3 linked regions of the Tribolium castaneum genome follow. The protein of the gene in region 2 purifies or fractionates together with the protein of the main gene of each other region. This does not show direct contact. Links are inferred from orthologs where the notes say so. Each region holds a gene or a part of one and is shown on either strand. Other genes may lie near its edges. The genes, in order: UbcE2H, armadillo repeat-containing protein 8 and Kaz.

Region 1 (10,322 bases), on a different chromosome or scaffold from region 2:
CCCCTACGTTAAAGTTGCCTTGTTCACGATTAATTTTAATAAAAATATGGAAAAAACATTTAGAATAACACACGACTTTACATATTCTTGAGGAGATGTTTCTTACTGAAATCCTGGTCCAGTTTCGGCGTGCGCTTAATTTGAGGATCGATCTTTTATGATCATTTTTGAGATGTGCTGCCAAGTCTTCAAACGTGTTTCTTGTGCGGCAGTAAGACACGGGGCATTTGATTACATGGTGTCTGTGTCGACTCAGACGAATCGCAGGAGCTGGGCCTGGATCTGGATCAGCAGGTGGCGAAAGTACAAGCCCCAATTCAGAGACCAGCCCTTCGAATGCAAAGTTTTTCGCTCGAGTACAAATAATCATCTTACAAATTGGACACAAAGTTTTGGTTCCACAATCCCCACAGATGGTGTGACCTCTAAGACACATACGAGTTGTTGATAAAATTTTGGAGCAATGTGGGCAGTTCCACAGAGCGGCCATTGCGTCTGAAACCCAGCGTAAGCCGAAGAAGGAGACGAAATTGTAACTCACCAAAAAATGAAAAATCTGATTAATTATTTAAAACTTTGACGTACATCACAGGCACAAACAACCACACATGCCCACTAACGATTTTCTTCCACGTATATCGGTGTTTTTCTCCTGATAATTTTTTTGACTGATTAAGGGATAGATACTCTAAGTTGGTCGGATACACCATTCTTTTTACCTATTTTGAGTTTGTATTTTTGATTTTTTATTTCAAATTTCAGTAGAAATCGTCTTAAAACATGTAAAAATTACAAAAAATGTTTTTGATAAATTGATTAAAATTGTTAAACTGATTTATTTGAACAAACCCAAGAATAATTCAGGTCACCTCATGAAATATAAATCCACATAATTTCTTCAAAAATCAACAAATTTGTGTATATCTTCTAGTCAAAAATAGTGGATGTACGTTTACAATTTGGTGCTTTTACGTACTTCTTTTACCTTTTGCCGCATTATTTTCTTATTTCTGTCAGTTTTATGCTCCGCTTTTCGTTTATACGTCTATGTGCTCTTTTAATCTCTTATTTTTGTTGACGTGTTGTTTCACCTACTTTTTCTACACTTTTTTTCATAGAAAAATTGTTACATTGATCCGGGTTCGAACACCCGACCTCCACCGTCGAAAGTGGCGCTTATACCACTGGCCCACCAGGCCCCAGGTACTGGCCGTCTTTTGCAAATATTTTAACATAATATTTTTAGATAAATCAAAATTACAAACTATAATTGCCATAATTGCCATAATTATTATATTTCCATTTTTAAGAAAACAAATATGTTTTGAGTTTAAAAAAAGTCCTTAAAATTGCTTGTTTGGAATGTTAAAATCCGGTCTCTAAAATAATTAGAGTAGGCTGTGATATTTTTTTAACGTGTATGAAATCGCTTGTTATCAGTTAATCAAACTGAAGAGTCAAACAATAAAACTTCGAACAGTTCAAGACTGGTCTTGTGGAACTTGTTTTTTAATATACAACTATTATTAATATTTACGTCAAAAAAACTTTTGTTTCAAGTAGGTACGGTATATGGTCAGGAGCAAGGTATGCTTTTTAAAGATTTATTTAATTTTTATTAAAACTATAATACTAAATTGGAAAATTGCCTAAGTTAGTGAAACTAAAAACTTATTTTGGTTTTTGTTGACGGCTTAGATATACTTATATGCAACTTTAAATACATTTTGAAATGTTTGCTTTAAGAGTTGTCATCTTACGGTGGACGGATAAGTCGACATCGAGTGGTTATTATCGGATAGAAAGGTTTCTACCTCGAAAAAATTGCATAGAAGAAATCTGTAATTCAGCTTGTGTCTGTCAGTCGTCGAGTCGGAGAGTCGGTGCGTGTGGAACATACCGCATTTGTAATTCTTTAAATAATGCCAAATTAGCAAAACTGCGTCAATTAGTGAAACAGAACCCATTTAGTTTCATAAGCCCATTCCAGTGCTTCTAAAAATGCGAAAAACCTTGATGGTCTTGTGCATAATTTTAAACCTAACCCCAAATATCCACTACGTGTCAAGCTCAAGTAAAGAAGAGGCTGCCAAAGCGAAATTACCACCCTGTCGGGCGTGCAAAATTTTTATCGAATCGTTCAAAAAGGTACGTTCCCATTGATGCTCAAATTCAGTAATGACAACAAAATAACAGGGCATAGAGAAGACAAAGAAGGGTAAGTTCGAGGGCGGCGACACCGCTTGGGAGGAGGAAAAGCTGGGCAGTTACGCCACTAGTGAAATTCGTTTGATCGAAATTCAAGAAAGCGTATGTTCCGATGTTGTCGAGGGTAAAGACCAGTGCTACGCCCTTCACGAGCAGTACGACTCGGAAATAGAAGAGTGGTGGTTTCACAAACAGGGCGACGAGCCCGACTTGTTCAAGTATTTTTGCATAAAGACCGTCGAGCACTGCTGCCCTGACCTGCACTATGGGACCAACTGCACCCCCTGTCCGGGGTACCCCGACAACGTGTGCAGCAACAACGGGAAGTGCAAGGGCTCAGGCACGCGCAAGGGAAGTGGGCAGTGTAGTTGCGACCCCGGGTACACTGGCGAGACGTGCAATGCCTGTGCCGAAACCTACTATGAGGCCTATAAGGACGAGAAAAAGTTACTTTGCTCAAAGTGCCACACGTCCTGCGAAGGGCCCTGCTCGAAGGCGGGCCCCGCTGGGTGCGAGAAATGCAAGCCGGGCTGGGTTATGAGCAAGGAGAAGGGCTGCACTGACATCAACGAATGCGCCACCGCACAGTCGCCCTGCAAGTTGAACCAGTTCTGCGTCAACAATGACGGCTCTTACAAATGTTTAGACTGTGATAGGTCCTGTGCCGGGTGCACGGGCGACGGGCCCGACATGTGCACCCAATGCGCCTCCGGTTACGTTCTAGTGGACAACATGTGCACAGGTACTAACCCGCTTATTTTCCCACTAATCTAACTTTTTCACAGATGCAGAGCAAGAAAGCCGCAAGCAACACGTTTTCCTGACAAGATACATGACTTATCTCGGCCTGTGTGTGGCAACTTGTATTATTTTCAACAAAAATACGATTTTAGCCGCTATTATTGGAATTGCCGTCGCGATTTATATTTCCGTGTCTGAGTATGTTCTCAATTCCCCACCAATTCCAAAAACCGACGATTTAGCCGAACAGTTACTGCACTCACAATAGATCGTTTCGTTTAATGTGATTTTGTTACCGTTTTGATCATTAGGTGGTAAATGTACCAAATTTTTGAAGTACGATGTTAGTCAAGAAATCTTCCGTTCGTAGGTTTAAGTTACTGTTTGTATATACTGACTGATTGTTGATTGCATAGATTTATTTATTTTTCGGTTTAGTGGTGTGATAGGCAATTTATCAAAATTGTAAGACAAGTTTTGTACTTTTCAATAAAGGTATTGCCAGAACAACTGGTTTTTATTTCGAAACTTATATCCATTACCGTCTAACTAATTTCTCCAGCAAGAACCACGTGGAAGTTTAGAGCATTCTTGCCAGGAAAAAAGGAAGTAAGGATGAGGTAAACAATGATTATTACAAAATAAAGGGATAAAGGAATTATTGGTTTGTGAAATGAAAAAATACAACACAAAAATCGTTTTTTTTTCACTTAGCGTTAAATAAAATGCACTCACCTTTGATATGACATTTGCTTATGCTACTGTTTGTAGCAAGGCATTAAAAATAAATTAAAAACAAAAACAATAAAAAAATAATTTATTTGCATGAGAGCTACAACAAGCTGTTATAAATATTATACAAAATAAAGAATATACAATACGGTATAATATATAAATAAAAAAAGCACCTACCTTCATATGGTTTCTGCGTTGGCTAATGTTTGTAGCAAAACATAAAAAAAAATAAAACAACACCGTTGAAAAATCTTTATTTGTATGGAAGTTACAACAAGCGACTATTATCAATATTATACAAAATAAAGAATACACAATACGTTATAATATATAGCAATTAAACTATTAAATTCAACACCTCACAAGATAAATAGAAAAAAATACACCTACCTTCATTTGGCTACTGTTTGTAGCAAGACATTAAAAGATAAAATAAAAACAGCACCATTAAAAAACTTTATTTGCATTAAAGTTACAGCAAGGGACTCATAAATTGAAATTAAAGACAAAGTCACTGAAACTATCACTTTTCAACACCTCATTTAAAAAATTAATATGCACTTCCGCTACAGTTTGTAGCAAAATAATAAAAATAAATTGAATGGGGATGAAAGATTTAGACAGTGATTTGAGTTTTTGGCAGTTTTTTTTTTAATTGATGGTTTCTTTTCGTAATTCGGCTAGTTTTAATAGTAAAATATAATATTAAAAACAGCTTCGAAAACCACAAATGTGCCTATGTGTCCTTTGACATATCACTAAATTGTTATTTGTTATTCGTTACTGTGTTACAAATAAAAAAATATTTACAACAAAAACAAATAAACAACGGTATCAAGAACAAATTGCATGAATAACGTCAGATAACAAGCGTACCTGCTATCTTGAAATTGGCAAGTCTTAGCGACCATTTATGGTAGAAAAAAGTGAAAAAGCTGATTACGAGTGCCAGATTTATTTTTGGTTTATTTGTGTAATTGGCAATTTATCAAAATTGTGCGGTTTTCGTATTTTAATAAAGCCGAGATGGTTGCAAACAACCGCTCAATAATGTTTTAGCGATTTCAGTTGAGTGGTCATTAATGGTAAAAAGTGGAAAATCTGAAACGCAAAGTCACGATCGAGATGAGCGCAGACTCATAAACCGCCCCCGTTATAATTTATGCCACCTCATTTAAATTTCCAATTAAGAGGAATTAATCTCGGTAAACAATTTGGAATTGTGTCGAAAATTGTGCGATGTTATGAATAATTTAAAGCACGCGTGAGTGATTGAAAAAATGCGAGATAATTAGCGTAATCGCCACAATAGAATCTGGCGGTGATCGGCAAAGAGTCGCTGTGTGTTTGGGATTGAAAGTGGAGAATTGTGCGTAATTTGGAGAAATTTGTTCGTCCTTTTGTTCGAATAACATTTTTCCCCCCCAAATCTGTGGAGTCATGCGCAAGAGGGAGGCAGTAGGGAGTTTGTTGTCAAACGTGAAGGTTCACGAAAAACGTATGTGGATTGGTGGAATTCCTGTTGGGTTTTCGCCACGGCCATTGTGTGTCGAAGTGGTTACGTCTCAAGTGAAAGAGCAATTTCGTCGGAGTTTGGATTCATGGTAATATTTTTATGACAACAGAACCATGTCGTCTCCAAGTGCAGGAAAACGACGTATGGACACAGATGTTATTAAACTGTATCCTTTCTTTGTGTGCGATCCAAATGTAAACAACAACATTATCCTTTGTATCAGCTGATTGGGAAATTACACGTTATGTGACTCGTTAATAGGGCCATTTATTTTTTGGGTGCGTACTCCAATAGGCGAATACGTGTGCTATTTTTATCTATGAACAACCTTAAGATTCCTGACAATGTGTTATTGTCTTGTTTTTTAATCCTTAACACTGACTAGAATTGAAAGCAAACACGAAGTCACGATACTTGGCGGCTTGAACGAATTCTGTGTCAAATTTTACGGCCCCAGGGGCAGTAAGTCCTTCGGTTGCCCCATTTTACATTATTTTCATTGATGATTTCCAGCTCCGTATGAAGGGGGAGTGTGGAAAGTCCGTGTTCATTTACCTGAGCATTACCCTTTCAAATCACCTAGTATAGGCTTTATGAATAGAGTGTACCATCCAAATATAGACGAAATCTCAGGGACTGTCTGCTTAGATGTGATCAATCAGGCCTGGACAGCCCTTTATGGTATATCCTCGCCACTGCGAGATTTATTTCATTCCCGAGATTATTTTCCAGATCTTTCAAACATTTTTGAATCATTTCTTCCACAGCTGCTAACTTACCCGAACCCCATTGACCCGTTAAATGGGGACGCAGCAGCAATGTATTTACATAAACCCGAAGAGTATAAGAAGAAAGTCTCTGGTAACTGTTGACAAAAAAGCGATTGTGGTGTTAAGTTGTGATTTTTTAGAGTATGTACGTAAGTATGCAACTGAGGAGGCTTTAAGGGGGCAGGAGAACGTGAGTTCAGATAGCGAATCAACCATGTCAGATTTTTCAGAAAATGAAGCTGAAGACATGGAATTATAACGCAGGCTGTCTACCATTAAAAGCTCGCTCAATCCTCTCTTTGCTATGAATAACAAATTCTTTTTAGTGTTACATGTGATGTGTATTAGGTTTGATTTAATTGTTTTGCATTTTTTAGAGTTTATTATGTTGCACGTATTGCGAATTGCTTAATTTTTTTCAGAGGAAATGTTTTTTTAGATTTACAAATTAGTTGTAGTAACATTAATATCTCATTAATTTGCCTTATTATGTTAATATTGTGATGATATGAGCGTAGCGACATATTTATTTTATAGATTTAGTCAGAAGTAGAGGAAATTTTCATTGTTGTACACGTCATTGAAAGATTTCTGTTTCAAATAACGCAGCTGGAAGACCAATTTATGACTTTTTGTGATGTGTACTATTTGTTGTATTTACATAATGTCACAAACATTTTGTACAGTATGTTTCCTCTACTAATTTAGTTAGTGCAATAGATATAAGTTGTTGTCACTTGTATTAACTTTCAAGTTACACACACCATTGATATCATTATGGTCTCATTGTATATACATTAATTGTCTTTAATTTAATAATATATTTTTAATAAATGTATCTTTGGCAACATTTTTTCTTGCACTGTCAAATAATAGTCAAACATTTGTTTTGATATTTTGTTTTTGTATCAAAACAAAAAATAACACTGTCCATACATGATCCACATCACGAAAATGTTTGTAATTTTGATTATTACTAAGATAATAAGTGTAGGTCATTTGGTAGCATTTAACAGTAATAAAGAACTAAATTTATTACGTACGAGTGTCATTCACCCCAGCTAATGTTTCCTAAAACATTTATTTTATGATATCCCAGTTAAGTCTGCAAAAAGTTATTGTTGCAACCCATCGTTATCTATATTCATTTCTTGCGCAATGAACTAAATCGTAAAGAATCATTTGGATAGGAAAAGTTACGTGGAATAATATTTTTGTAATAAAAAAATGCCTCCATGTGCCTAAAATCCTATGCGTTTTATTGGAAGGGTGTATTCCCTAAAGTTATCCCTTGACCTTTGTATTATTGGTTGCATACGCGTGAAACCGAACATAAAAATAAATACTTGGATCGAATTTCCAGTTCTTTAATAAAACAAAAACACTCCCCACAACAATTGTACATTAGTTAGAGTTTCTAATACCACTTATAGATAAAGTTTTTACAAATGCTAAGATAAAACTACTATGAATTAAACGTGATTACTTGATTACCGCTTCATTCAATCGTTCATTCATAATGTGCAGCAAAGAAATAAAAACAAAACTAAATAAATAAAATATAAAATAAAAGATTCTACAATATTAACTATACAGACCCTTTAATTTAACCATTCAGTAGGCGCCTCAACTAACTAAATTCACCCCATTTAACACAAAGTGAAAAATAAAGAAGTTAAATTAACGCATCTTCACTAGTAACTGGTTTTAAACTGACTGATGGGTAGAAACGTGCATATTGTGAGATTTATTATGCAAAAGGATATTTAATAACATTGATATGCACGTTGTGGTATCATTTTTCATCGTTTACTTTTTTATAATAGAGACATTCTAAAATATGGATCTAATTTTGGCGGGAATGAGCTTTTTAATTTGCGCATAGAACGTACCCCTAGGAGTTGGGGTTTCCCCGTTTTTATCCTCTATAATATAGTGGGTGTATTTGTTATATTGGTTGAACAAAGACAAGTTATACGTTCTCTTCGTCTAATACATCGATTAAACGACAGATAGATAATCTGAGCAACTCATCAATATCTGTCTCTGTTTTAGAAGGTTTGTTTCTTTGCTGTGTAGTGTAAGCAAATTGTGTGTTATGCGAAAATTTCTATTTACTTGCGCTCAATTTCTATGAAAATTCATTTAATATGTGGCTGATAACTTGAGGATACGAGAAACGGAGGAATTTCTATCGATTAAATCTGTAAGGTGATACTTAAACCACATAACCTAATTCTGTAAGGATTTTTTTATTGTTTTGTTTCTTCATAAATTATCGTTATTTGTTGAATAACATCAACAACAATCTTGGCTTTATCTCATCTCATATCGATTCGTTCTAAATAATGCAAACAATCGATTTTCGAAGAAGACGTTTGCTAACAAACATCCCATTTCATTCGCAGAACGTACACTGTTTGCAATGGTAAAGCTCTGAAAACGCTCCAAAAACCAGCAAAATGAATGAAATGGGTTCGTCTAGCCTTCTGCATTTAGGGGACATCGTGTCCTTATATGCAGAAGGTACAGTTAGTGGGTTCCTCAGCACTTTAGGGTGAGCTACACTCGATCTCTTCATGACCATATATAGAAAACATTTATTTTAGGTTAGTAGATGACCGTTCTGTTGTATGTCCTGAAGCTGGAGATCTGTCTAATCCACCCAAAAAATTCAGAGGTTGTGTATTTAACAATAACAAAAAAACAAATAGCAACAAATGTTATTTCAGACTGTCTGTTCAAAATATGTCCCATGAACAGATATTCAGCACAGAAGCAATTCTGGAAGGCTGCAAAACAGAGCATGAGCTCAAATACAGACACCAACCTTTTAAAGAGGTTACATGTAAGTACTTTTTATATTCCTTAATTACTGGCTATTTGTACTCCAATAATTACAAAAAAGTACGCAAACAAATGTCGACACTACATCAATTACAGCAATAATTACATATTACTACTGGTGTTGACAAATTTTTAATGCAAAAATGCTGTAGATGTGTATCAGGTGACGTGATGAAGTTGAGGCGGACTGGAGACTGAACAGACTTTTCAAAATTTGGACATTTTTGGTTCAAGCTTGAAATAAAAATTCTGGATTGGAAAATAATTCGTATCGTTTTACTTGTTATATAAATTTAACCTTCACTTAAGTGCTTAATTATAAGCCATGTACTCATTAGGAATACTTTATATAGATATCCGTTAATAATTTGCGACATTTTAAGCTCGAGTTGAGTTGTTATAAAATTACACTTTACCAGAAAATAGGTGACTTTTCTATAAAAAAACTTTCCGCTATAGGTTCATTTTTAGCTATTTTTAAACAAACACGCACCGTGTGAACTTGTATCCGCAAGTATGTGAGCGAATTTATAATAAAAAGTACAAACAAAATTTTCGTTTATTTTCACTCTGGCTGACTTAATTCCCTCTTAATTGCCAATTTCCTAAGCAAATAATTACGTTTAATTTAGCCAAAATAAATTTCTCATGTTACGTATTCTTTTATCAACATTTTTACCAACAACTGGTTTGCCCACCTAACTTCTCAATACACAATGACTAGTAACACAATACTCCGGAGACAAGAGGAGTTCGATATCAGAAACCGGAATTTGAGTTCGGTGTCGCTTTGGAGTTGCACGCTGTTCCCATTTCCTCTTTCACACATGCATCAAAACAAGTAATAAATAATCGGCACCATAAAAAATATGACTAATTTATTACAAAGACAATGGACGTTAAAGATGAAGTGATAAGACGAAATGTCTTTCTAGCTAACCGGCAAAAAAACTAAACGTTATTTAAAAAGGAAAACAATGGCAAAATAAAATGTTTTTATGTAAGTTAGTTCGTGAGTTATTGACATGACGAACACGTTACATATTATTTTTATTACTGTCAGTAAATAATAAATTCTAATTGTTTTTTATACTTTGTGGTGAAATTGCGAAATATTTGCTGAACCAGGAACTAGCAAAGAGAAATGAGCAAATATTTAGAATGCTTCTGTGACTTAACTCTAAATTACTTTGTAATTACCACAACATATCAGAAGTAATTAGTGAAATGTTTTTCCTCGGAAGTTATTTAAAGATATTAGATATCAGAAAACAAACCTGCGTGTCGTTCTTAAATTACACTAAAGATATTTTCTCAAATAAATGCTTTTGTCTAATTTTTTTATTAAAGTTCTGAAAAAACCAAAGACTGATTTTGATGATGCAATTCCAGCACGCGGCCGAGATCGAAAAAAAGCAGAACGATACAGAAAACAAAAAGTTGCTTGGTACCAACGTCCAGTACGGTAGCGTAGTCCAACTCCTTCATTTAAAATCCAACAAATA
Region 2 (11,378 bases):
TTATTCCAGAGACATGGAAGTGCATAGAGGGGCGGTTTGTTATGGTGCACGCCTCCTATCAGACGCATTTGGGGGAGGATTGCCTTTTCGCCCCCGATGCCAAGCTCAACGACGGCACGATTTGGTTGCTGATCGTGCATGGGGGCACCACGAGGACGCAGCTGTTGCATTTTCTGTTGGGGCTGAGCACGGGGGCACATACGTCGATGGTGGGCGAAGGGGGCCCGATTGAGCTGATAGCAGTGAATGCGTTCCGGATAGAGCCGGATATGAACGAACAGGGGTATATGACGGTTGATGGGGAACATGTTGAGTATGGGCCGATTCAAGCTGAGGTTTTTCCGAGTTTGGCGAGAGTTATGGTTCCCTGATCGGAACATTCCTTAGGTACTAATTGTAAAAATAAATCTAGGGTTGTGATTTTATCTACTTTAGAGCCACTCCTTATAAGGCTCGATGGCATTTAATGGTGGTCGTTTTGCCGGCTTTAATCTTGCTGATTTGTTTTTTATTATTATGGAGAGAGAATCACGAGCTCCAGGTATTACATAACAGCTGATCAAACTGGCCTAGCTTTAATACATAGTATTACGGCAGCTTGACTTTAAAAGCCAAGCTATATTAATTGTTATTAATTTTTGTTCACGAGGCAGAAATCTTATTATTCCAGTGATACGAACACCAGTGTAAGGAAAAAACTTTCATAGTTGAGACAAGCGTCTCAGGAGATTTATCTATTGATCTAGTTAGGTAACATTAATGTAATGAATGTTGTTACTTCATTATAAGGAATCACTCATAAATAGGCCATTATTACTGAACGGTTTTAAAATCCAAGATGCCAATACCGTAGTGCTAAAAAATGGTACATTTGTCAAAAGTAGAAATGAGTTTTAATGTTTCTGAGCACACAATGCATATAGTAAAATAGACCTTCCAGAACAAGGCTTTAATCAACATAGCTTTACAGTAAAAATTATTTGTAAACGACTAATTTCATAGTAACAATAAAACAGCAATATATTTTATGATAATTTTATTCAAGGTATATAGTCTTATCTTTAAAAATACCAAGTCAAGTACGTGGTTTACATGAAATGTAATTGGAAGTAGGTACTATTTTATTTGATATTAAGAAAAAAATCCACCAAAGATTTACCGAAAATAATATTAAAAAAATCAACAATTACATATTTTTTAGTTCCGTTCACATTTTTACCATTATTGGAAAACGCTGCGAATACGGTTAAAAATTGAAAGAACATTTTAATTGTAATCAAATTTTAATTCGAGATTAATTTAACATTTTTTGTCAATGCATTTTAAATGGCAACTTAATGTTGAATTAGTTTAATTCTGAATTAAATTTTAATTTCGCTTTCTATAAATCGACCCCCCCCCCCTGAATTAAATTTTCTTTGAAAAAATCCACTATTTTCAATGGTTTACGTTCAAGACATAACAAATGAAACGTTTTTGTTACTAGGCATATTTGATGCCTTCAGACCATCTTTAGATCCTGAACCGTATTGGTAAACGGGGGATCAAACTAAAATGTTTATTTCTTTATTTTTTTATTATTTCTTACTGAAGAGCGAATACGAATATGTGTGTAAGTCGTGGAGGGAGAAACTTGTGGAGAGAAGGTCTGAATTTTCCGTCAAGTGTACAATCAGTGCGCAGGTTTGAAGCTGTGTCTTCAATACCATAGGCGTATCATAGATTCTATACCGTCAAATTATTTGGATTCTTTTTGACTTACAGTTTTGTAATGTATAGTAATTTTAAATAATTGTTAGTACTAACGGTTAGTGTTTTTAAAGAAGTGTATTTTGACAATGGTTAGCTGCAAACTTTAAGTGCCCCCAAAATTAAAATATGTTGACTACACCACTGGTTTGAAATTTCAAGTGGGAAACAAAGTGCGCGTACTTTGAAAAGGGTAATAAAAATTGTTTGTGTAAGGACCACGGTTTCTCGCTTATGTTCCCTCCACAAGTTTCTCCCTCTACGGTGTAAGGTCTATTTGTCCATAATTTTGATCTAGATATTCTGAAAATGTAGATGTAAAACTATTTTTTAATTTGTTTCTCATAAATTTAGGATGGATTGACTTGGTCCTTAAAAAATAATTGGACATAACATTGTATTTGTTTCTTGAGCGATATAAAAAACTCATGTACAGTCTGTTTCAAGTCTTATCGCCGGAGCAACAATAAATCTTTCTAGTCAACTAAAATAGTTATCAATAATACGAGTGCGAAAACACAAGTTTAAAGTTCGAAGGCTGTTGTTATGCAACGAGCGTATGCGAGTTGTATACCTAGACACCCGAGAATTTTAAGAGTTTTCGCACAAGTGTTATTCAATTTTTTTGTTGGAACATTTTAATTTAAACGTGTTTTAAAATAGTGTTTATAATCAATGATTCAGATATTAAAAAGAAGGCTTTAAATGTTACCAATAAAAAATATATTTATAACCGAAATGGTATATTTAATTGGGATACAGTTTGAAGCTCTAGTATTCAACTTTTTAAGGTTCAGTGTGAGATACTATAAACCAATTTTGCAAAAAAAAATCAAGTTATCGGCATGTTGTCTATATGGTAAAATTAGTTGAATTTAGTGGCAATTGCTAAAATATAATTAAGCAAAAGTTGATAGGTTTTGAGTAATTAACATTTTAACGTTACCTAAAGACCTAAAAGTTTAAAAATTTATGGTAGGCTTAGTGGCAACTGGTGATCAGGTCAGAATTCCTTTTTCAATTATTAGGGAATTATCTGTTAGGAATTTACCACAAACCGAGTTAGAAGTAATCCAATTTTTGTATCTTCAATATAAAAACATAATTATTCAAAATCTGACAACTTTTACTTAATTCTATTTTAGCAGGTACCACAAAAATTCAAAGAATTAGGTCTTTTTTGTGTTTCACAGCCAGACTTAAAAATTTGAACAAAATGAAAGCATAGAATTACAGCGTATTTATCTTTTAATCAACATGAAAAAATTATTTTTGGCTCGGCCATAAAACTTGAAGTACACTGTATTTCAATTCTAGTCAGAACTACAATTAATTTTCTGTAGTTCTACGATTACGATGAAAGAAAAAATATGTACTATTTTTATTTTTCGCTTTTTTAAAAACTAACTGTTAAAAAACTCATTTACTACAAAACGCATTGTCAGTCACTGTTACCACCAGTCTTTTTTGTAATTGTGTGCGAGTAACGAGATTTTGAAAATAATTTTTGTACCTGAGGGCCTTCTTGTTGTTAATTAGATTGTTAACTAGTGAAGTGTGACATTGGCTGGTTCATTCGTGCTAAGAGCAATTATCAGTAATGCTCATGTTTGTAGGCAATAATCCTGCAATTCTTTTAATCATGTGACATGTCTTTTAGCTGTATGTTATAGTGAAATAATTACTGTAGGTGAAGGCTGTGAAATATTACAAAACCTTTTTTAAACTTCACCATGTTTGTTATTTATTTGTACACGGATTTTGTTTGCTCAAATTATAAAAAAAAAATGAAATTGTTACAAAATCATGGTATTAAATTAAAACTTATTTCTGTGATTATAATATTGTAAAGCAATATTTAAATAAATAAGATGAGATTACGAAATCTTGACTCCCTGCAATTCCATTAATAGTTTGGACATTTGGTCATCTACAGTCTCTGGCGCCTCCGAATTTAAGGAAAGCTTCATCATTTGGAGATTGTCAACGTTGGTTCCCGGAGTCTGCTGCTTATACACACTTATGAGTATGTCCACAATCTAAAACTCCCACAAATCAAAAAAGCGAAACCAAACACTTAATAACTACCAATTGCAACTCTGTCAGAACTTGCACCATTTCAATTGACCCGTCCCTCCAACTCCGCCGCAAAATGTGCAATTTACTTTCCGCAAGTTGCACAGGGTTTTTCCCATACAAGTCCAATTTTCTCACATCTGCTCCTGCGTTTAATAACAACGAGATTATGGAAAGATTGTGTGTACAGGCTGCTAGGTGAAGCGGGGTGTTGCACAGTTTATCGTTTTGGTTTGGATCAGCGCCCCTTTCTAACAAAAGTTTCACAACGTCTTTGTACCCCTTACTTGCAGCTATGTGAAGGGCGCTCCTTCCGTGCGTATCTGCAGAGTTGGGGCTCGCCCCCAGAGCTAACTGTTTCTCGATGTTTTCGGTGTTGTTGCTAGCAGCAGCAAAAAGAAGACGGGCATCTCGCAAAGTCTTCATTTTGTTTTTCAGGGCGGCATAACTCTGACTTTTCATTAAATTCTTAGCTTTTAATTCCACATGGAGCTTCTTCTTGAACTCCCCTTTCGTCCGGTTCACTTCACTATCACTGTGAGACATTTTTTGGCAAAGAACCTGACATTAAAGTTGCGAAACTTCAACCTACGCAATGTTTATTTATTTATGGCAAAGAGACAACTGCGCAGCCCCCAATTGTCAAATGTCAGGTGGGATTCCCACTGCATCAAACATTCATATTTGAAAAAAGATGATATTTTCCAGTTTGCTATATCCTAATTAACAAGTATTGTACCCTGTGATGTGTTACACAATTCTGGGTGCTCCTAATTAATTACTACCTTGTTTAATTTATATTTTTGTGGCCACTTTTGAAGTATTGCACATTCGAACTTTTGCGGGGAGTATCCGTTGCGTAAACGCCGTAAACGTCAAGTTGAATGTTTAAAGTACAATTTTAAAATAAACTCGAAATTAGTTGCGTGTCTGTTGTGATTACCCGAAGAACCTTTTTATTTATTTTAGTTGTGACCGTAGAATGATATTTGAGATGCAGCCATTTACGACTTTCATGGTAAGTCCCCGCAGTTAACCTCAAAAAACGCCGCTGACACTTGCCCGTTTATTTGAAGAACGTAGAAAGCACCCGCTCCTACATCGACAACCTGTACTCGTCAGATCCTGAGAAATGCCTAAACTCGATAATTTGCATCAAAAACTCCGTTATTGGCTCGAACCGACAAAAAGAGAGCGTGATTGCTCAGGGTATAGTGCCGCGCCTTTTGCAGCTCCTCGAAGATAAAAACACGAAATTGGCTGTAAGGATCGAGGCTGCAGTGACGATCGGGTCGCTGGCCAAGGGAACGACCGAGCATAGCGAGATTCTCATCAATTCTGGCACTGTTGAGCTGCTTTTGGACATCCTGGAGGAGGACGAGCCCCGCTTAGTAGACGCGTGTTTGTGTTGCTTGCGTACTTTGTCTCTGCTGGACTCGGCCACGGCTCAAAATAAGTTCGATGTGAAGCGGTTGCAGAAGTTGTTGACTTTCGCTGGGCCGGGGGAGAGTCTCCAGAGACAGTCTTGTGTGGCGAGTATTCTAGGGTCAGCGTGTAAGACGCCAGTGGAACAAAACGAGTTGTGTAATGTGGGGGCGCCGAACTTGCTCGCGGCGCTCCTGTCAGTGCAAAATAGTTCGGTGAGGATACCCGTCTTGACGTGTTTGGCGGCAATGTGTTGGAACAACCAAAATGTAGCAAATGCTATTGTCAATACGACTTACAAAGATATTAAAGTTCCCAACCATTTGGCGACTTTGATCAGTAGGGATAAACCCATAGAGATGCAGTTGGAGGCCGCCAAATGTCTCACGAATTTACACAGAGCTGGGGCTATCCCAGCCTACGATCCTATAATAACTTACAGAACTCTGCCGTGTCTAGTCCGACTATGTCAGGTTGGTTTTCATGAAGTAAAATTGCTCCGTTTGTAAAGATTTTTCTTAGATTGAACACTCGGAACCACACAGGGCAGCAGCAGCAAACACTTTAGCTTATTTAACAGAAGTCGATAGTGATTTACAGCAAGTCGCTGCAATTAGTAATCAATTAGTCAGTGCTTTAGTACATTTGTTGAGTTGTCGTAGTGTTGTGGCGAGAGAAGCGGCCTTCAGGTATTAATTTTTTATTTTTTGATAATTCGTTCAATAAGTGTTAATTTTTAGAGCGTTTGCTTCTTTGGCAGCGAATGACGAAGACATAAGAAAAAGGATTATCGACACAAAGTGTCTAATGGATAGTGTGTTGGAAGGTTTAGATGATGAAAATGAAAATATTAGGTTAGCAGCTGTACGTTGTCTTCATTCGTTGAGTAGGTCAGTGCAACAGTTGCGTACCACCTTCCAAGATTACTCCGTGTGGCGCCCCCTGATGGCGCTTTTAACAGGTAAGGAGTAGACCCAGCTTTAGGTGTCCCATTTTTGCGAAAAAATGTTAATTTGCTTTTTTTAAAAAGCTGCCATCTGTTTTACTTTTATTACGTACAGAATGACATTGGGGGCATTTCACGCGAAGCCGACAACAAAAAAAAATTGACAATTTGAAATTCGGTTATATTCGGGATAATTGCTCTCCTAGAAAGCATGATTGTAAATACATAATGATTTTTTTGTATGACACTTGTGAAGATATTGACTTCTAAAAATTTGACGAAATATGAGACACAGAGTTTTTGGAAGCTTTTATTCAAAAAACTGACGCATACCAAAATATTTAAAATAGTGCTTTATATAGAAAATTTTCTGTTCTTTTTGGTTTGAAATGAGATTTGGAATTTGAAAGTTTTTTTGTGAAGAAAACCGGAAGTGAAGTTTCAAATCCGAATTTTAGTAACTTGGACCATTTTTTTTTAAATTCACTTTTATTTCAAAAAATAGCTTATAATATCTAGATTTTACACTATAAGTCGTAAAATGGAATCTCTATTTCGTTAGGAGATGCAGTACTTAATGTACGTGATCGGTCGGTTTACGCAAGAAATTACGCGCTTTTGAATACATTAAGTACTATATCTCCTAAAGGAATAGAGAACCCATTTTGCGATTTATAGTGTAAACCCTATTTACTTTAAGCTAATTTTTAAAATAAAAATAATTAAAAAAAATGGCCCAAGTTACTAAAATTCGGATTTGAAACTTCACTTCCGGTTTTCAATACGATAAAAAATTCAAATTTCAAATTTGATTTTAGAGTTAAAAACACTGTAAATTTTGTGTATAAAACACCATTTTAAATATTTTGTTACATATTGTTTAATTAGAATAACAATTTACAAAAACGTTATGCTTAATATTTGGTCAATTTATAGAAGTCAATAACTTTTTAAACAAGTTGCTCACAACAAAAAACCATTACGTACATTCACACCTTTTAAGAGAACAATTGTAACCGAATTTCAGGTTGTCGCATTTTTTTGAGTTGTCCGCTTCACGTGAAATGCCCCATTGATTTTTTATGCAAAACAATATTTTTTTCACTATGTTGACTTCGTTGTTTATGTGAACAAAATAAATTTTAAACATTTGTCTTACTTCATTTACTGTACTGTAGCTGCAAATAACACATTTTATCGCATGTTTCTCTCATGGCATAACATTAGTAACTACTTACACAAATAAAATAATTGTGGGCTCCGATTGCAAGTAGCATCTTTATAAGACGCTTTGTTTAATTCGTTGTGCAAAACAATCTTAAAACAACTAACAGTTCATAATTTGTGAAACTGAATTCTTTGGAGTTCCGTCCTGAAATCTATGCCAAACGCGGTGGCCAAAATCTGCTAAATCAAACAAAAATAAAATGTGACACAAAATTTACACTCCACACATACATTTCCATGTATTTTGGGTTGCATTTTATCGTCGTTAGGGTCGTCAACTTATACGAATCAGTTGGCACATAGAAAATTAATCACACTTATAAATTTTTGAATAAGGCAGTTTAAGGTACTTTTGATCTTTACCTTAAAAGTCTTCAGGTATGTAATATAGTAGATCACCTTGTTGCATTGCTGTATATTTTTTGGCTTACAATTGTTCCGTTTATAAATATAAATCAAAATAATTTTTAATCTTGAAAAGAAGCTTCCACGTCACATTTTATTGTTTTTTCACTGTAAAAGTAGCGAAATAAAAATGTTTCTGGAATCTCCCCATACCACTAAGTGTAAAAAGTTTTAGACCGATTAATTTATTATTAATATATATAATTAATAGAATCAATTTAGATATACCAGGAGCCTAAAGATTGTGATTCTTGGCGTCAGGTTGGCAACAAATTTGAAATATTAACTTGGCAGTTTTGACTATCAAATTTAAATGTAAAAATTTTCTATATTCATTTGTCGTTCACTTCCGATTGAGGATCACTGGCATGGCAGTTAAATGAAAGGTGGCAGGGAGGCCAATAACTCATTGTTGCCAATAGATTTTTTGCCCCAATCTTTAAGTCACCCCGTAGCTTTCTCCACTCATTTCGTATATTTGCACATTTTGTTTCATTTTTAATTTTGTATCCAAAACATTCAAGGTACTTTTCAAGTTATTTTCACCATTTTCTCGCACATAATTTCAGCTCGTATTTAAATTACCATTGTACAGTTTTTTAAGATTCCTTTTTTTACTTTTATAATAATACAACTTAACCAAATATCTAAGTTTTTGGTGAAAAAGAGAAAATATTTTTTTTGGACCGGGATTCTTCAGGGACATAATGGCTTATGTTTAACTGTGACTGTACAGGGTGAGTCAATAGTGATGCAACCAAAAATACTAATTGCTCTTATCACTTGGAGTTTAATTTTTAAAAACATTGTTTTTTTATCTTTTAAATAATAATAGTCCATAATGAAACAAACAAACTTGAAAATACAATACAATCATGAATTAATTTAAAACAATTTTAATATTTACCGATCTGATCTGCTGTAATCAGTATTATTGGTTACATATTAACAAAAATTCAGAATAACCCACTATTGACTCACCCTGTATATGCTAAAACCTTCAGTCGTAATGCCCCCGGTAACCCCTTAAGTTTGGCAAAATCTTTTTGAAATGTCCTGTATTTTGCATTCAATTCATTATTAATCTATGATCGAAACCGAGAACATAACTTTTTTGATACCAGTATACCCTTCGACCATACATCATATAGACTCGCCGTAAAGCGAGTTTGTAGGCTGGTTGTTTGAAGCCAACATGTAATGGTGAGAGGAGTGAGGGGCAAGAGGAAGCTTACTCCTTTTTCAATGGCAGCTCGTAGTCAAGGGGCAAACAAGTGAAAAAACATTATAAGTCTCAGAAATAATTTCAAGTTTTCGAGATTCAAAAAAAATGCATTAGTTAAAGTACTTCTAATTCTATCTTATGACATGTCGTCAGAGTTGTGATATTCAAAAATATTCAGTATCAAAGCGGAAAATCAGAATACGTTACGACGCCACTGGTGTGTTCACATATTTAGGTTAACACATGTATTTTCTTACTTTCGGATGACATAACCGATGAATAAGCCCTTGTGGATACTTTCTCCTGTATATTTCGACGCAAGAACCAGATTTTACCCATTCACAAGTAAATTTAAGCCCAAAATTCACCATTTTTCCCTTTAATCACAATCGTGAAGCATGAAGTTTGACGAATATTAACGAAACACTTGGAAATATTTTGAATGAACCAATCAGAGAAGGGGTACGTAAGGGTCAAATTCGCGTACCAAGCCTCATTTCCCCTTGCCCCACCTGCACATGTTGGCTTCAAAACAAATCTCACCTTGCCCAGTCTACAGCGTGCTCAAAAACTGGCGCACCAACTCAGTGGTGTGTGGTAGAGAAGTGGTTACACATAATGGCAAAAATAGTAAAAAAATTCTTTGTATTAAAGTTATTGATAAATAACTAATTTCAGGTAAATGATATGTAGCAACGTTGTCTAACAGTCATGATCGCAATAGAATTTGAGCAACAATAAAATAAATATATTTTGAAACGGTTTCTTAGGAAATAATTCCCAGTGTTGGCACATCTACACATTGTGATTCTTTGGGTAAATTTTAATTTTTTTTTATTAAAAAAACTGCTAAAATCTGATAGTAAATTTAAAAATAATTATTCATCGTTTTGTTACGGAACGATTACCTGGTATGAAACATAGAAATATAAAAAAATAATGAAAACTAAAGAAGTTAACACAATAAGTTTGTAGCTCCAGATTTTTTTAAATATAACTTTTGGAATTTTTTCAACATTTTTCCCGTAATCTGCACTTGCTTCTCAATAATCTACCACTGAGTTGGTGCGCCAGTTTTTGAGCAGCCTGTATATGATATATGGTCGAAGAGTATACCGAGATTAGTCAAAATAACGATAATCTTGGTATTATTTAAAATTCAAACTTTGACTAAAACTTTTTTTCAATATTCGTTAGTTTTTGGTCAAGACTCACCCTATACAGGATGGTCCGGCCCAGCTCCTGTCTTGTGTAGCTCATTTATTATTAAAGTTGGAGTTTTGTTATTTTGTAAATGGTATTTATATTCTAGGACACATTTCTGGAAATTATTTTTGATTATAGTGTCCCAAAATGGTATGACGTCATAATAAGGTTTTTTTTTTAAATTGCATGCTATTATTTTCTTGTGTTCATTATAAAACCTTTTTAGATTTTTCCATGTCTCTAAAGTTTTTTTTAAATCGGTTTAGGGATTATTAAAAAAAACAAAAAATAGCGGTTTTACATCATTAGTTTTAAAAATTAATAAAAAATAGAAATAGTGATTTTTTGAAGACATTGTTACTATGTAAGTGTTAAACAAGGTCTAACTGACATATTAAGTGGCTTTGATTGATTTGAATTATTACAGTGTGTTTACAATTTATTTCTAATATTTTTTTATTTTTAAAGCTTTTTATTTTGCTTATTTTAATTGGCAACCCCTGTTTATTTTTATACCATTCGATGGGGAATTAGAAAATGAACATTTTTTTTATTACAACCCTAACGTAAATCTTAACACATTCGGAGTTATTTGCCAAAAACCTTAACCATGTTCTACTTTTAATCATTAAAGAAATTTGTCATTAACAGAATGAGTTTTTAGCAAATAACTTTGAATATGTGAAGATTTGCAATAGGATTGTTATAACAAAAAATGTTTGTTTTTTAATTCTGGATCGATTACCATAAAAGTAAACGGCGTTGAAACCATTTGCGATATGTAATCATTAAAAGTGTCTTAAATTCTTGACAAAACAAGTTTTTATCAAATAACTCCGAATGTGTTAGGATCTATGTTATGGTTGTATTATAATAAGTTGATCGTTTTTTAATTCTGCATCGAGTGATATAAAAAAATAGGGGTTGCCATTTAAAATAAGCAAAATAAAAGGCTCTAAAATTTAAAAAGTTTGGAAATAAATTGTAAACACTGTAGTAATTCAAATCACCCAAACTCACTTATAAGTCTGTTAGACCTTGCTTAACACTTACGTAGTAAAAATGTTTTCAAACAAGCACTGTTTCTATTTTTTATTAATTTTTGAAACTAAAGGTGTA
Region 3 (11,533 bases), on a different chromosome or scaffold from region 2:
GTCTCGTGAGCACCTTCGAGGGGGCCACGAAGTATTTCAAATCCTGATACATGACCGTATAATAAGCTTTGCAAGGATTTTCCGTGAAGACCGATTCTGAAACAATTTAATTCAAATCGTAGACAAGATAGTGAATTCAGCGGCTCATTTTTTGTGTTACACCGCTATTTTTATAACACTACCTCATTCGAAGACTTAGTAAAAAATTTATAACTCAAAAACTAAAAGTCGTAGAGCGAAACGGTTTGTTCTAGTGAATTTAGCAGCTCATTTTCTGTATTACACCGCCATTTTTAAAACACTACCTCACTCGAGGACTTAGTTAGAAATTTATTGTTTATTTGAAAAATGGTGGATGCGCCGAATTATTTATTAAAAAATTTATAACTCAAAAACTAAAAGTCGTAGAGCGAAACGGTTTGTTCTAGTGAATTCAGCAGCTCATTTTCTGTATTACACCGCCATTTTTACAACACTACCACACTCGAGGACTTAGTTAGAAATTTATTATTTATTTGAAAAATGGTGGATGCGCCGAATTATTTATTAAAAAATTTATAACTCAAAAACTAAAAGTCGTAGAGCAAAACGGTTTATTCCAGTGAATTCAGCGGCTCATTTTCTGTATTACACCGTCATATTTACAACACTACCTCACTCTAAGACTTAGTAAAAAATTTATTTATTTATTTGAAAAATGGTGGATGCGCCGAATTATTTATTAAAAAATTTATAACTCAAAAACTAAAAGTCGTAGAGCAAAATCGTTTATTCTAGTGAATTCAGCGGCTCATTTTCTGCATTACACCGTCATTTTTACAACACTACCTCACTCGAAGACTTAGTAAAAAATGTATTTATTAACTTCAAAAATGGTGGATGCGCCGAATAATTTATTAAAAAATTTGTAACTCAAAAACTAAAAGTCGTAGAGCAAAACGGTTTAGTCCAGTGCATTCAGCGGCTCATTTTCTATAATACATCGCTATTTTTACAACACTACCTTACTCGAGGACTTAGTAAAAAATTTATTTATTAACTTGAAGAATGGTGGATGCGCCGAATTATTTATTAAAAAATTTATAACTCAAAAACTAAAAGTCGTAGAGCAAAACGGTTTAGTCCAGTGCATTCAGCGGCTCATTTTCTATAATACATCGCTATTTTTACAACACTACCTCACTCGAAGGCTTAGTAAAAAATTTATTTATTAACTTGAAAAGTGGCGGATGCGCGCCGAATAATTTATTAAAAAATTTGTAACTCAAAAACTAAAAGTCGTAGAGCAAAACGGTTTAGTCCAGTGCATTCAGCGGCTCATTTTCTATAATACATCGCTATTTTTACAACACTACCTCACTCGAAGACTTAGTAAAAAATTTATTTATTTATTTGAAAAATGGTGGATGCGCCGAATTATTTATTAAAAATTTATAACTCAAAAACTAAGTCGTAGAGCAAAACGGTTTAGTCCAGTGCATTCAGCGGCTCATTTTCTATAATACATCGCTATTTTTACAACACTACCTCACTCGAAGACTTAGTAAAAAATTTATTTATTTATTTGAAAAATGGTGGATGTGCCGAATTATTTATTAAAAAATTTATAACTCAAAAACTAAAAAAAATTTATTTATTTATTTGAAAAATGGTGGATGTGCCGAATTATTTATTAAAAAATTTATAACTCAAAAACTAAAAGTCGTAGAGCAAAACGGTTTATTCCAGTGAATTCAGCGGCTCATTTTCTGTATTACACCGACATTTTTACAGCACTAACTCACTCGAGAACTTAGTTAGAAAATTTATTTCTTAACTTGAAAAATGGTGGATGCGCCGAATTATTTATTAAAAATTTATAACTCAAAAACTAAGTCGTAGAGCAAAACGGTTTAGTCCAGTGCATTCAGCGGCTCATTTTCTATAATACATCGCTATTTTTACAACACTACCTCACTCGAAGACTTAGTAAAAAATTTATTTATTAACTTGAAAAATGGTGGATGCGCCGAATTATTTATTAAAAAATTTATAACTCAAAAACTAAAAGTCGTAGAGCGAAACGGTTTGTTCTAGTGAATTCAGCAGCTCATTTTCTGTATTACACCGCCATTTTTACAACACTACCTCACTCGAGGACTTAGTTAGAAATTTATTATTTATTTGAAAAATGGTGGATGCGCCGAATTATTTATTAAAAAATTTATAACTCAAAAACTAAAAGTCGTAGAGCAAAACGGTTTAGTCCAGTGAATTCAGCGGCTCATTTTCTGTATTACACCGTCATTTTTATTTACTACCTCACTCGGAAACTTAGTAAAAAATTTATTTATTAACCTGAAAAATGGTGGATGCGTCGAATTATTTATTAAAAATTTATAACTTAAAAACTAAAAGTGGTAGAGAAAAACGTTTTATTCCAGTGAATTCAGCGGCTCATTTTCTGTATTACACCGTCATTTTTACAACACTATCTCACTCGAAGACTTAGTAAAAAATTTATTTATTTATTTGAAAAATGGTGGATGCGCCGAATTATTTATTAAAAAATTTATAACTCAAAAACTAAAAGTCGTAGAGCGAAACGGTTTGTTCTAGTGAATTCAGCAGCTCATTTTCTGTATTACACCGCCATTTTTACAACACTACCACACTCGAGGACTTAGTTAGAAATTTATTATTTATTTGAAAAATAGTGGATGCGTCGAATTATTTATTAAAATTTTATAACTTAAAAACTAAAAGTCGTAGAGAAAAACGTTTTATTCCAGTGAATTCAGCGGCTCATTTTCTGTATTACACCGTCATTTTTACAACACTATCTCACTCGAAGACTTAGTAAAAAATTTATTTATTTATTTGAAAAATGGTGGATGCGCCGAATTATTTATTAAAAATTTATAACTTAAAAACTAAAAGTCGTAGAGCAAAACGGTTTATTCCAGTGAATAACTGTCTTGTCTATGATTCAAATGACGCGCCATAGTGATGCAACCCGAGCGGCACAAAAACCCCAGGAACGTCACTTGACTCGCCGTTTTGTTTACATTATTTCTGAAAAATGGACGAGAAGAAATTCCTCAAAAATGTGTCCGATAAAGAGGTCTCCGGGGGGCGCCTCCAGTCCCTCAAACTCCCCCGCGACCTGAGTTTGGGAATCGCCAAGCCGAAGAAACAGTACACACCTAACCTCAATGTTGTCAGAAACAAGGACAAAACGAAAGAATTTCTCAAGAAAATGGACCAGAAGCGCAAGGACCGGACGGGGCACCGAGACCGCCACAACAGACAGGACCAGAAACCGAAGTTTGTGCAGTCCAGCGGGGTTTTTTCGCAAGGCACGGGCGAAATCAAAAGACTGACCTCCCACAACTCCGAGCCGAGGGTCAGTTTCAGGGACAACAGCACGGTCTCGAACATGGTTTTACCGACAATTAACAGGAACTCGTGGACTGTGAATAAAAAAGCCGAAGAGGCGGTTTTGGACGAGTTGGCGAACTGTGATATTGATAGTGATGACGAGAAAATGTCTTTCAAGCCCTTGACACTGTCGCTGGATCCGGTGCGCAGGGTTAAGAAGGAAGTGAGTGTCAAGAAAGAGGATTTGGAGTTTGTACCTGAACCGTTTAATAGTGAACATAGTGAGGAAAACCCAGCTTTAGCTTTAGTTAAATTGCCGGATTCTTTCGCGGGCAAAGGCCTGAGTGACGATCCTAACGTTAAAAAACTGTTCGATTACACCCTCAAGGACATGCTCGAGGGCCAAATTGGCAAACTAGTGATTAGAAGGTCGGGCAAAATGGAAGTACATATCGGTAGAGTCAAATATGAGTTGAGCCCTGAAAACACGTTTGAGGCTCGAGAAGACCTAGCCACGATAACGGAGGGCCCCAATGGGGAAAACAGCATAGCGGTATTAGGCAGCGTTTTACACAATTTTATCATGTTTCCCGACTATGATTCACTGTTAAGTAAAAAATAATTGTACTATTTTCTATAAATAAATTATGATAATTATCTATAAAACCTACTTTTGGACTTTTGCGATTTTTTGTTGCAATGACTTTCGCATTTCGATGAAAGTCGCACCTCTTTTGTTCCTAAAATTATAATCTTACAGAAGCGTCGTTAATTTAATCTGCAATTAAATGTGTGATTAAATGATCACGTGACCAAATTGAACAAATTTTGTTGGTTCATTCACGTTAACTTTTAACTACGTGTTAAATTTTAATGGAGCTTTCCATAAACCGGCCCTATAATTCTTTTTTATAAAGAATATAATAACTCAAGTATTTTGATGTGTAAAAACTACATTTGTGTCGAACAATTTAGTCAAACCTGGCACAAAAAAACACCAAATTAATGTTATTTTCGTGTATGTCATTCTATTAGTTTGGTTTTGAATTGGGGACCCATTTATTTTAAACTGAAACACGCCGAAAAATCACAAAATTTAGGTCAAAAATAAGCAAAAAAAGGTCACTAAACTACGCGAAAAAAGTGAATATTTTTTTTTAATGGATCCTTCAATGAAAAATTTTTTAAAGGACATAATAACGACAATAAGCGCACAATTTTAACATCCTAGAGGGATTGTAAGAACATTTCACCACAAAAAATTGGAAAAATCCAAACACACGTTTTGTAGACATCCATTAAAATTACTTACGCATTTGTGTCTTGAAGTAAGTGCCCCATGACATTTTTTTCGGGTCACATTCAGGCGGGACCGCTCCCATATTTTTCAGCGCGACCAAATTATCAATTTCTTCCTCCTACGAAAAGTCATTATTATTGCACTCGTGTTGTAATAAACTCACGTGTAAAATACTCAAATATGTGATCGTAAAATCCATTATGTACATCAGCAAGAAAAAATACTTCACTATTGACCACCACGTAAATTGCGCCCTGAGCAACTTATACATTATAAATAAAACAAGACAGGCAGCGGCAAGCGCCCCCGAAGTCGGATTAAAAACCAAATAATACAATCTCTCCTGAACTGATAAAACAACCGCTTCGTATCTATCCTGGGACGTTTTTTGCAACGCATTTTCAAAAATCGAGCTTATTTCGCTAATTGTGTCCCCTTTGGTGTCACTACTTTGCGAGAAATTCAACAGGAATTGAAGCTCACTCGACGTCAATTTAATATTGACGTGACCCTCATGGTACCCCATTGAATCGTCCAAATAGGCGTTAGTCAAAATTAGGCGCACAATTCGTTTTAAATGTATATCGGAGTCGCATTGTGTACTCCCAGAACTGTAGCGCTTTCGCGAATCGAGATCTAGACTTGGGGAGCGAACTGGCACCTTGTGCTTCGCGTTGGTGTCCATGCTATGGGGGTCAACCCATTCGGCGTTTGTCATGGATAGGTAAACGATAAATACTAAAATAGTTGATGATTTCATCTGAAACCAAACGTTTTGGTGTGGGGGACACACAAATTGGGGCCGCCAAACCTTAAGTTGCTAAATGTCGGATAAATAATCGAGGAAATTCAAGTTTTGTTTTGAGTTGTAAAACTAACCTACAATCTGACAACGGTTGTCATCCATGACATAATACCGTCTGTGAGTTTATTAAATAAAATATTTTGATTGTTACTGATTGTCACCTTACGTGTTACGACCAGTTTTAAAGTGAGTAATTGATAAAACTGGAAACTATTATTTTTTATGGCTGATAATTGCTGTGTAAAAGCTTTGTGTATAATTGGTTGTATAACATGGACGAATTATTGAAATGTTTGTGTGTTTGTAATAATAAGGGTCGTACTTCAAGGTTGAGGGGAAGGGCTCTAAACAAAGACTAAACTCCTTCTTTAAAAATACCAAACTTGCTAATTGTATGTGCTTTTGCCGTGTACTCGCAAATTTCGCGTTTCCCGAACTTCCCTGCCATTTCTATTGACAAAATCAGCTGTTTGCGAAGCCAGCAGCTGAGTGAGTGACGTTTTATTTATGTTTTTATTTGTGCACCAAAATGGCAGACTTGAAATCTCTGGAGCATCCCACGTTGAAGGTAAACCACCTCCCATATCCTTTGAATATTCGGGTCTTGTCTCCAAAAACGCGGCCCCACCGTGGGGCCCCCGCCCCGTTACTGCGGCGTTTTCCCCGAAATTTGCATTATCGCGCGATAAGAGCGCCATTCAAGGTCTCAGGGCGTTGTTGGTGTCGAATTCCAGGTGCCGTACGAGATCCTCAACAAGAAGTTCCGGACTGCGCAAAAATCGCTCGACAGGGAGGCCTCCCACGTGCAGCAGGCGGCCCGCGAGCTCGAGAGCACCATCTCTGGGGGTAATGTGAGGGCGCGCGACATCACCTCGCTGCTTGGAGGCATGGTGGAGAAGCTGCAGGTGCTGAAGCGCAAAGCCGAGGAGAGCATCTCCGAGGAGCTGGCCGCCTCGAATGTGTGCAAGCGGCGGCTGGAGCACCTGAAGGAGCGCGAGACGCTCACGTCGGCCGGGACGGTCTCGCAGGGGGCCGTCAACCAGTGGAAGAGGAAGCGGCTGGATAGGATGATGGTGGAGTACTTCCTCAGGAATGGGTATTACAACGCTGCGATTACTCTGGCGGAGAAGAGCGATATCAAGGACTTGACCAATATTGAGATTTTTTTGACGTCGCGCGAGATCGAGAAGAGTCTCGCGAATCATGAGACGTCCAAGTGCTTGATTTGGTGCCATGACAATAAGTCCAAACTTCGTAAGCTTAAGTCAAATATGGAGTTTAATTTGAGGATCCAGGAGTTTGTTGAACTGATCAGGTCTGAGCGCAGAATGGACGCTATTAAGCACGCGAGAAAGCATTTTCCGAGCTTCGAAGACGAGCATTTAGATACGATTCAGAGGGTTATGGCGCTTTTGGCGTTTCCGATAGGTACAGGTCAGTATTTTGAGACTTATTTTATTTTAAACAAAAATGTTTTATTGAATGCTTCCATTCCATCAAGTAATTCATATTTTTTGATTATTTCTGTGTGAGAGAGCTTTGACATAAATCGCATCTAATAAATTCGCATGGTTTTTCACATCCATGTTAATTGGAGTTTTCACGGAAATAATGAATATTGTTGGAGTTAATGAATATAATAATCATTAATACACACGAACCATTACCTCAAATGGTAATTAACAAATAGATTTTCCGAACTGTAAATGTAGTAATTTTTTTTTCATATTTTTGCCCAACTCTGTGTTGATATTTAGGTATAAAGTGAATTTGTGAAAAGGATTTTTGACTTAAAAAGTCCATTTTTATCCGCAAAGTAGTTCGCTTTTTATTTCAAAACATTTCTTCGATGAAAACTTGTTAAACTACAAACAAATTTCATTATTTCAGGTAATTTTAAACAATTACGATCATTGGCCTGATCCAGAAACTCACTTATTTTGCGAGATTTTGTCGGCATAAAAAGCCTAAAAGATTTAAAAAATTAAAATAATAAAGGTGCTACATAAACGTACATATTAAATACAAATACAGACCTAAATAAAATAAAAATAACTTTATACATCCACATTTATTTTGTTATATTTATCTAACAAAGTGAGCCAAAGAACTTTAAAGAAGGTATTATGAAGTATTAGAAATGCACAGAGGTAGAGGGAGAGTTTGTGGAAAAACAGTTTAAAGGGTTTTGTGAAAATTTGTTTTGGTATTGCCTTTTCGACAAGTAAAAGATCTGTTGAAAGGGCTACAAAATTAGGGGTTTCTATTAAAACAAACGTAGGTAAATTAAAAACTAACGGGTGAAAAAATTCATATTTGGCACTTTTTAAAATTAAACCAGGCTTGTTCTAGCATTTTTTCCGGAACTAAATGCTATTTGCAGTTTTAAGAATATTATTCGATATTTTCAGTGTTTTATTTCATAACTAAAAACCGTCGGTGCCACTCGTAGTTTTTTATTATTATTCAAACATTTTTATTGCACGTGTTTGTTACCTTGATTTCTATATGCATGTGTCACCGATTTTATACATTTTAATTTTTAATTCATCACGTTTTTATGTCTCTGATAATTTTCCACTGAACATTGTTTCTATTTTAGTCCAATTTTGCATATAGTCAAATTGCAACCTTTTTTGAGTAAAATTCCACGATAATGGGTAATAGTTTATCAGTTTTAAGTAATTGCCTGTGTATTCTATTTATGCATGCACGTGTTGTATTTTTTAACGAAATGATGGCTTTGTAAACCGTAACTACAATTAAAATTTTGCTGAAATTGAATTGTCTATATTTACACGAAGCTTTATTGTCGTAATTTAGATAAATGTACCAAAAAAACCATTTTGTTGAACGATATTTAACAGATAAGTAAATAAGTGCTGATTGATGGCGAGCCATCTGAAAAATTCCAGAAATAAAACCCTACAAGGCCCTCTTTGACGAGACCAGATGGGACACCCTCATCGAGCAATTTAGACAAGAAAACTACCGACTGTTCCAATTAGCTTCACAATCAGTGTTTACAGTGGCTCTTCAAGCTGGACTTTCAGCGCTTAAAACACCATATCCTTTGATGCATTTTACGTGTGTGTTTTTGTACTGAGTGTTGTTCCTTAACAAAACTTAATCAGTGTTATTCTGATAACGGGGAAAACAGGAATCCCGCCTGTCCAGTTTGCCAACCTTGCCTCAACCAATTAGCAGAGTCTTTGCCTTTCGCCCATTGCTCACAGTCACGTCTTTATTGCCATATTAGCGGATTACCACTAAACGAAAACAATTTACCCATGATGTTGCCCAATGGATATATTTACGGAGAACAAGTAAGTTGATTTTGCGATTGGTCGGTTGTTACTGGACGACTTGCAGGCGCTAGAACAAATGGCGAAGGAGAATAACGGGCAAATAATATGTCCCAAAACGAAAGAGATATTCCCGTTTAAGAAAGTCGAAAAAGTTTACGTTATGTAAATGTGATATTTTCTTTTTTATAGTATTGTTTATACCTCTCTAAGTTGAGTTAAGTTAAGTACTCATAGGGTAACAGTTTTTTGTGAAATATACTTTATGCTTATCGAAATAAAAAATGGTTTAATTCCTGATAGTGTTTATTATGACAGTACCTATAATCCATTCCACTACACTAGAACTTACAGTTTAAATGCCGTTTTATGATTATGAATGTTCCTAAAGCCTTATGATTTGTAATTATCGTGCATCAAATTGAACCAAATAGAAAGCGAGTTGCTCTATTTGGTACTCGTCAGACTTTTGTACAAAATATTTATAAAAATATAATGAAACTGCTCAACAATTTGAAGTTTCCTAACTATTCTAAGTAACTCAGTGTTAACAAAGACATAACATTGGTCAGCAAGACCCTGTATCTTATATTATCTAAGAGTCGAGGTGAAGAAGAGTGTAACAGTGTCAATATATCTTAAACTAGTCGAAACAGAGTAGAAAAGTGACATTTTTAAACTTTGTACTACGAAAACATCACTTTTTTGCTCAAGGTATGTACAATGGACGACCTAATAAGTGGTGCAACAAACGACAAACCAAACCGTTTTGACACCATTGAATACAGTAATTTTACTAGTTTTTGGCAGTTTTTCGTGGTACAACAGTCCGTTAGTCGTTTTGCAACGCCTCTGCCAGTTAGTAGAGAGTCAACAGTTGCGTTGCGTGGTAGATATGATTGGATTCTAAATGGACATCAGCTACGTCACTTGATAAGGCGATAATAAATAGTCTGAATAAATAGTTATCTCTTATTTGTATTTAGATGATTATGATTGTATCAGATATGTAATAAAGCAAGAAACACCAAATTAACTTTATTGAAAAACATAGAAAACACAAGTAGCAAACTAGAACTAATGTACGGTCAGTCTTGCAAACGTCTTATCAAAATGCAAATCTAGTGGTTTTCCCAGAAAACATTTTTGAAAAGCCAATGGGACTAAAACTATTTACAAAACTGCTACAAAACAATATTCTTCGTTAGTTGGAAGAACTATGATTCGGGACCCATTGAAATCATACTTGTTTCTCTATGGCATATGACAGAAACTACTATCTAAAATTGTATAGATAATTCCGTTTCCGTATCATATACCAAACACTTTTGCTAGTATTTGACATGCTTGATTATCCAAGGCCATAAAAATGTCGACAAAATCCCGGTAAAGATACCAGTTATCAAAGAAGCGGCGGCGAACATGCCCGCCGTCGAGGAATATCTCTCTTCCACGCACCTACTCACAAAAATTATTATCGGAAATTTGCCAACTCCTGACTCACCCTGGGGTGTACATCATGGCCAGGGAGCTAAAGTACCCACTAGTCAGCCCCATTGTGATGGCGACTATCCAATAAACCCAATCACTCGTGACGTACACCGGAATATGCCGCTCAATCCCGTTGATCTGGTAATTACAAAAAAAGAAAAACGGGATATACAACACTCGGAGAGTGACAAAAATCCATAAATATTTCGGACCGGGCTAAAATCATGTCATGGAAAAAAGTTCCTTGTGTTTGAAATCAATTACCCAACGCAGTAAGCTAGTCAGATAACTGCCCACCATCGCACAAACATTAAAAGTGAGGAAACACGTAATTCCTGTGTAATAGTCCTCGCCAATAAAAAAATTCTCGTCACCACGTTTAACGTCTGAAATGCAAAACTGTAGAAAAAATATTGGATGCAACAGTTAATTACTTGTCTGTATAGCTGGGAAAATTGATAGGGTTACGAAGAATATGAAAAAGACGTTGTAAAGTTGGGGGAGGGATTTTTTGAGGATGTGCAAGTAGGGGATGCGTTGGGTGCGTCCCTGGTTCATTTGTTTTCGCAGTTCCGCGTTTTTCTTCTCGCGGAGCTCGTGGTGGCGGTAGAATCGCTGGAAAATTTCAAGAAATAAAAATTTTGTTGTCAAACCCGAAATAATCGCGCTATTGGCCCACAATTTTTATTTTAAAATAATGATAAATATAACACCTGTTTTTCTAATCTCTTCGGCGTTATTTCATTTCATAAAATGCCAAAACTGGAAGTAATTAGTTATCATTTTTCTGAGATTTCTCCAGTTTTTGTTCATTGAACTATTTTTCTTCATGCATCAACTGTTAATTATTTGTAGAAACAAATAGATTAGCAAAATACGTTTTTAATTAAAATATTACAAACACTTCTATTTTTTGCTTTAATTTTGTTCATACCAAGGCAGTAAAACACGTAAAACCACAATTTGGAAAATATTTTTCAAGTTATTGAAATTGTTTTAATATAAAAAATTTCCTGCTGTCTTAAAATGAGAATTCTGAACTTGAAATAAAAAATGGGGTCAGTATTTGCGTCTGATACTAATTCACTTCAATTCGAGTTATTGCACTTTCTGTTAAAAATTATTTTATTATTATTGTTCAATTAACAAATTCATTTAACAATAACGCTTTGAAAAAGGTTAGTAAACCTAACAAGAGCTTCATCTATTATTTGTTTGCTTCATTTGGTTTGATAAAAATAAATCTTGTTTCTGCAAGGTCTGCAAAATTAG

The links.
Region 1: the proteins of armadillo repeat-containing protein 8 (region 2) and UbcE2H purify together in Homo sapiens (affinity purification with mass spectrometry; 3 studies listed by BioGRID and IntAct, with this or other methods). This does not show direct contact. The link is inferred for Tribolium castaneum from reciprocal best matches to the Homo sapiens genes ARMC8 and UBE2H.
Region 3: the proteins of armadillo repeat-containing protein 8 (region 2) and Kaz purify together in Homo sapiens (affinity purification with mass spectrometry; 5 studies listed by BioGRID and IntAct, with this or other methods). This does not show direct contact. The link is inferred for Tribolium castaneum from reciprocal best matches to the Homo sapiens genes ARMC8 and MAEA.

What each region holds. Positions count from the first base shown.
Region 1 is NC_087403.1:5,358,346-5,368,667, reverse strand, and holds UbcE2H (ubiquitin-conjugating enzyme E2 H), read left to right. Parts: upstream 1-5,168; 5' UTR 5,169-5,313; coding exon 5,314-5,366; intron 5,367-5,585; coding exon 5,586-5,662; intron 5,663-5,713; coding exon 5,714-5,881; intron 5,882-5,932; coding exon 5,933-6,061; intron 6,062-6,110; coding exon 6,111-6,229; 3' UTR 6,230-6,370; downstream 6,371-10,322. Other genes in the region: Creld (cysteine-rich with EGF-like domain protein 2), read left to right, coding at 2,002-2,148, 2,197-2,950, 2,994-3,217; Itpr (inositol 1,4,5-trisphosphate receptor), read left to right, coding at 8,433-8,527, 8,580-8,650, 8,703-8,818, 10,210-10,322. UniProt on the Homo sapiens protein: Accepts ubiquitin from the E1 complex and catalyzes its covalent attachment to other proteins. E2 ubiquitin conjugating enzyme that transfers ubiquitin to MAEA, a core component of the CTLH E3 ubiquitin-protein ligase complex.
Region 2 is NC_087394.1:22,528,604-22,539,981, reverse strand, and holds the start of armadillo repeat-containing protein 8, read left to right. Parts: upstream 1-4,644; 5' UTR 4,645-4,807; coding exon 4,808-4,843; intron 4,844-4,901; coding exon 4,902-5,723; intron 5,724-5,772; coding exon 5,773-5,939; intron 5,940-5,990; coding exon 5,991-6,211; intron 6,212-11,378. Other genes in the region: Sk2 (sphingosine kinase 2), read left to right, coding at 10-371; ankyrin repeat domain-containing protein 54, read right to left, coding at 3,627-3,788, 3,838-4,371. UniProt on the Homo sapiens protein: Component of the CTLH E3 ubiquitin-protein ligase complex that selectively accepts ubiquitin from UBE2H and mediates ubiquitination and subsequent proteasomal degradation of the transcription factor HBP1.
Region 3 is NC_087395.1:21,468,418-21,479,950, reverse strand, and holds Kaz (E3 ubiquitin-protein transferase MAEA), read left to right. Parts: upstream 1-5,794; 5' UTR 5,795-5,994; coding exon 5,995-6,033; intron 6,034-6,199; coding exon 6,200-6,899; intron 6,900-8,380; coding exon 8,381-8,531; intron 8,532-8,595; coding exon 8,596-8,791; intron 8,792-8,837; coding exon 8,838-8,939; 3' UTR 8,940-9,068; downstream 9,069-11,533. Other genes in the region: DNA-directed RNA polymerase III subunit RPC4, read left to right, coding at 3,062-3,982; uncharacterized protein LOC103314256, read right to left, coding at 1-96, 4,673-4,778, 4,824-5,420; Ent2 (NADPH-dependent diflavin oxidoreductase 1), read right to left, coding at 10,102-10,228, 10,275-10,477, 10,526-10,647, 10,696-10,876.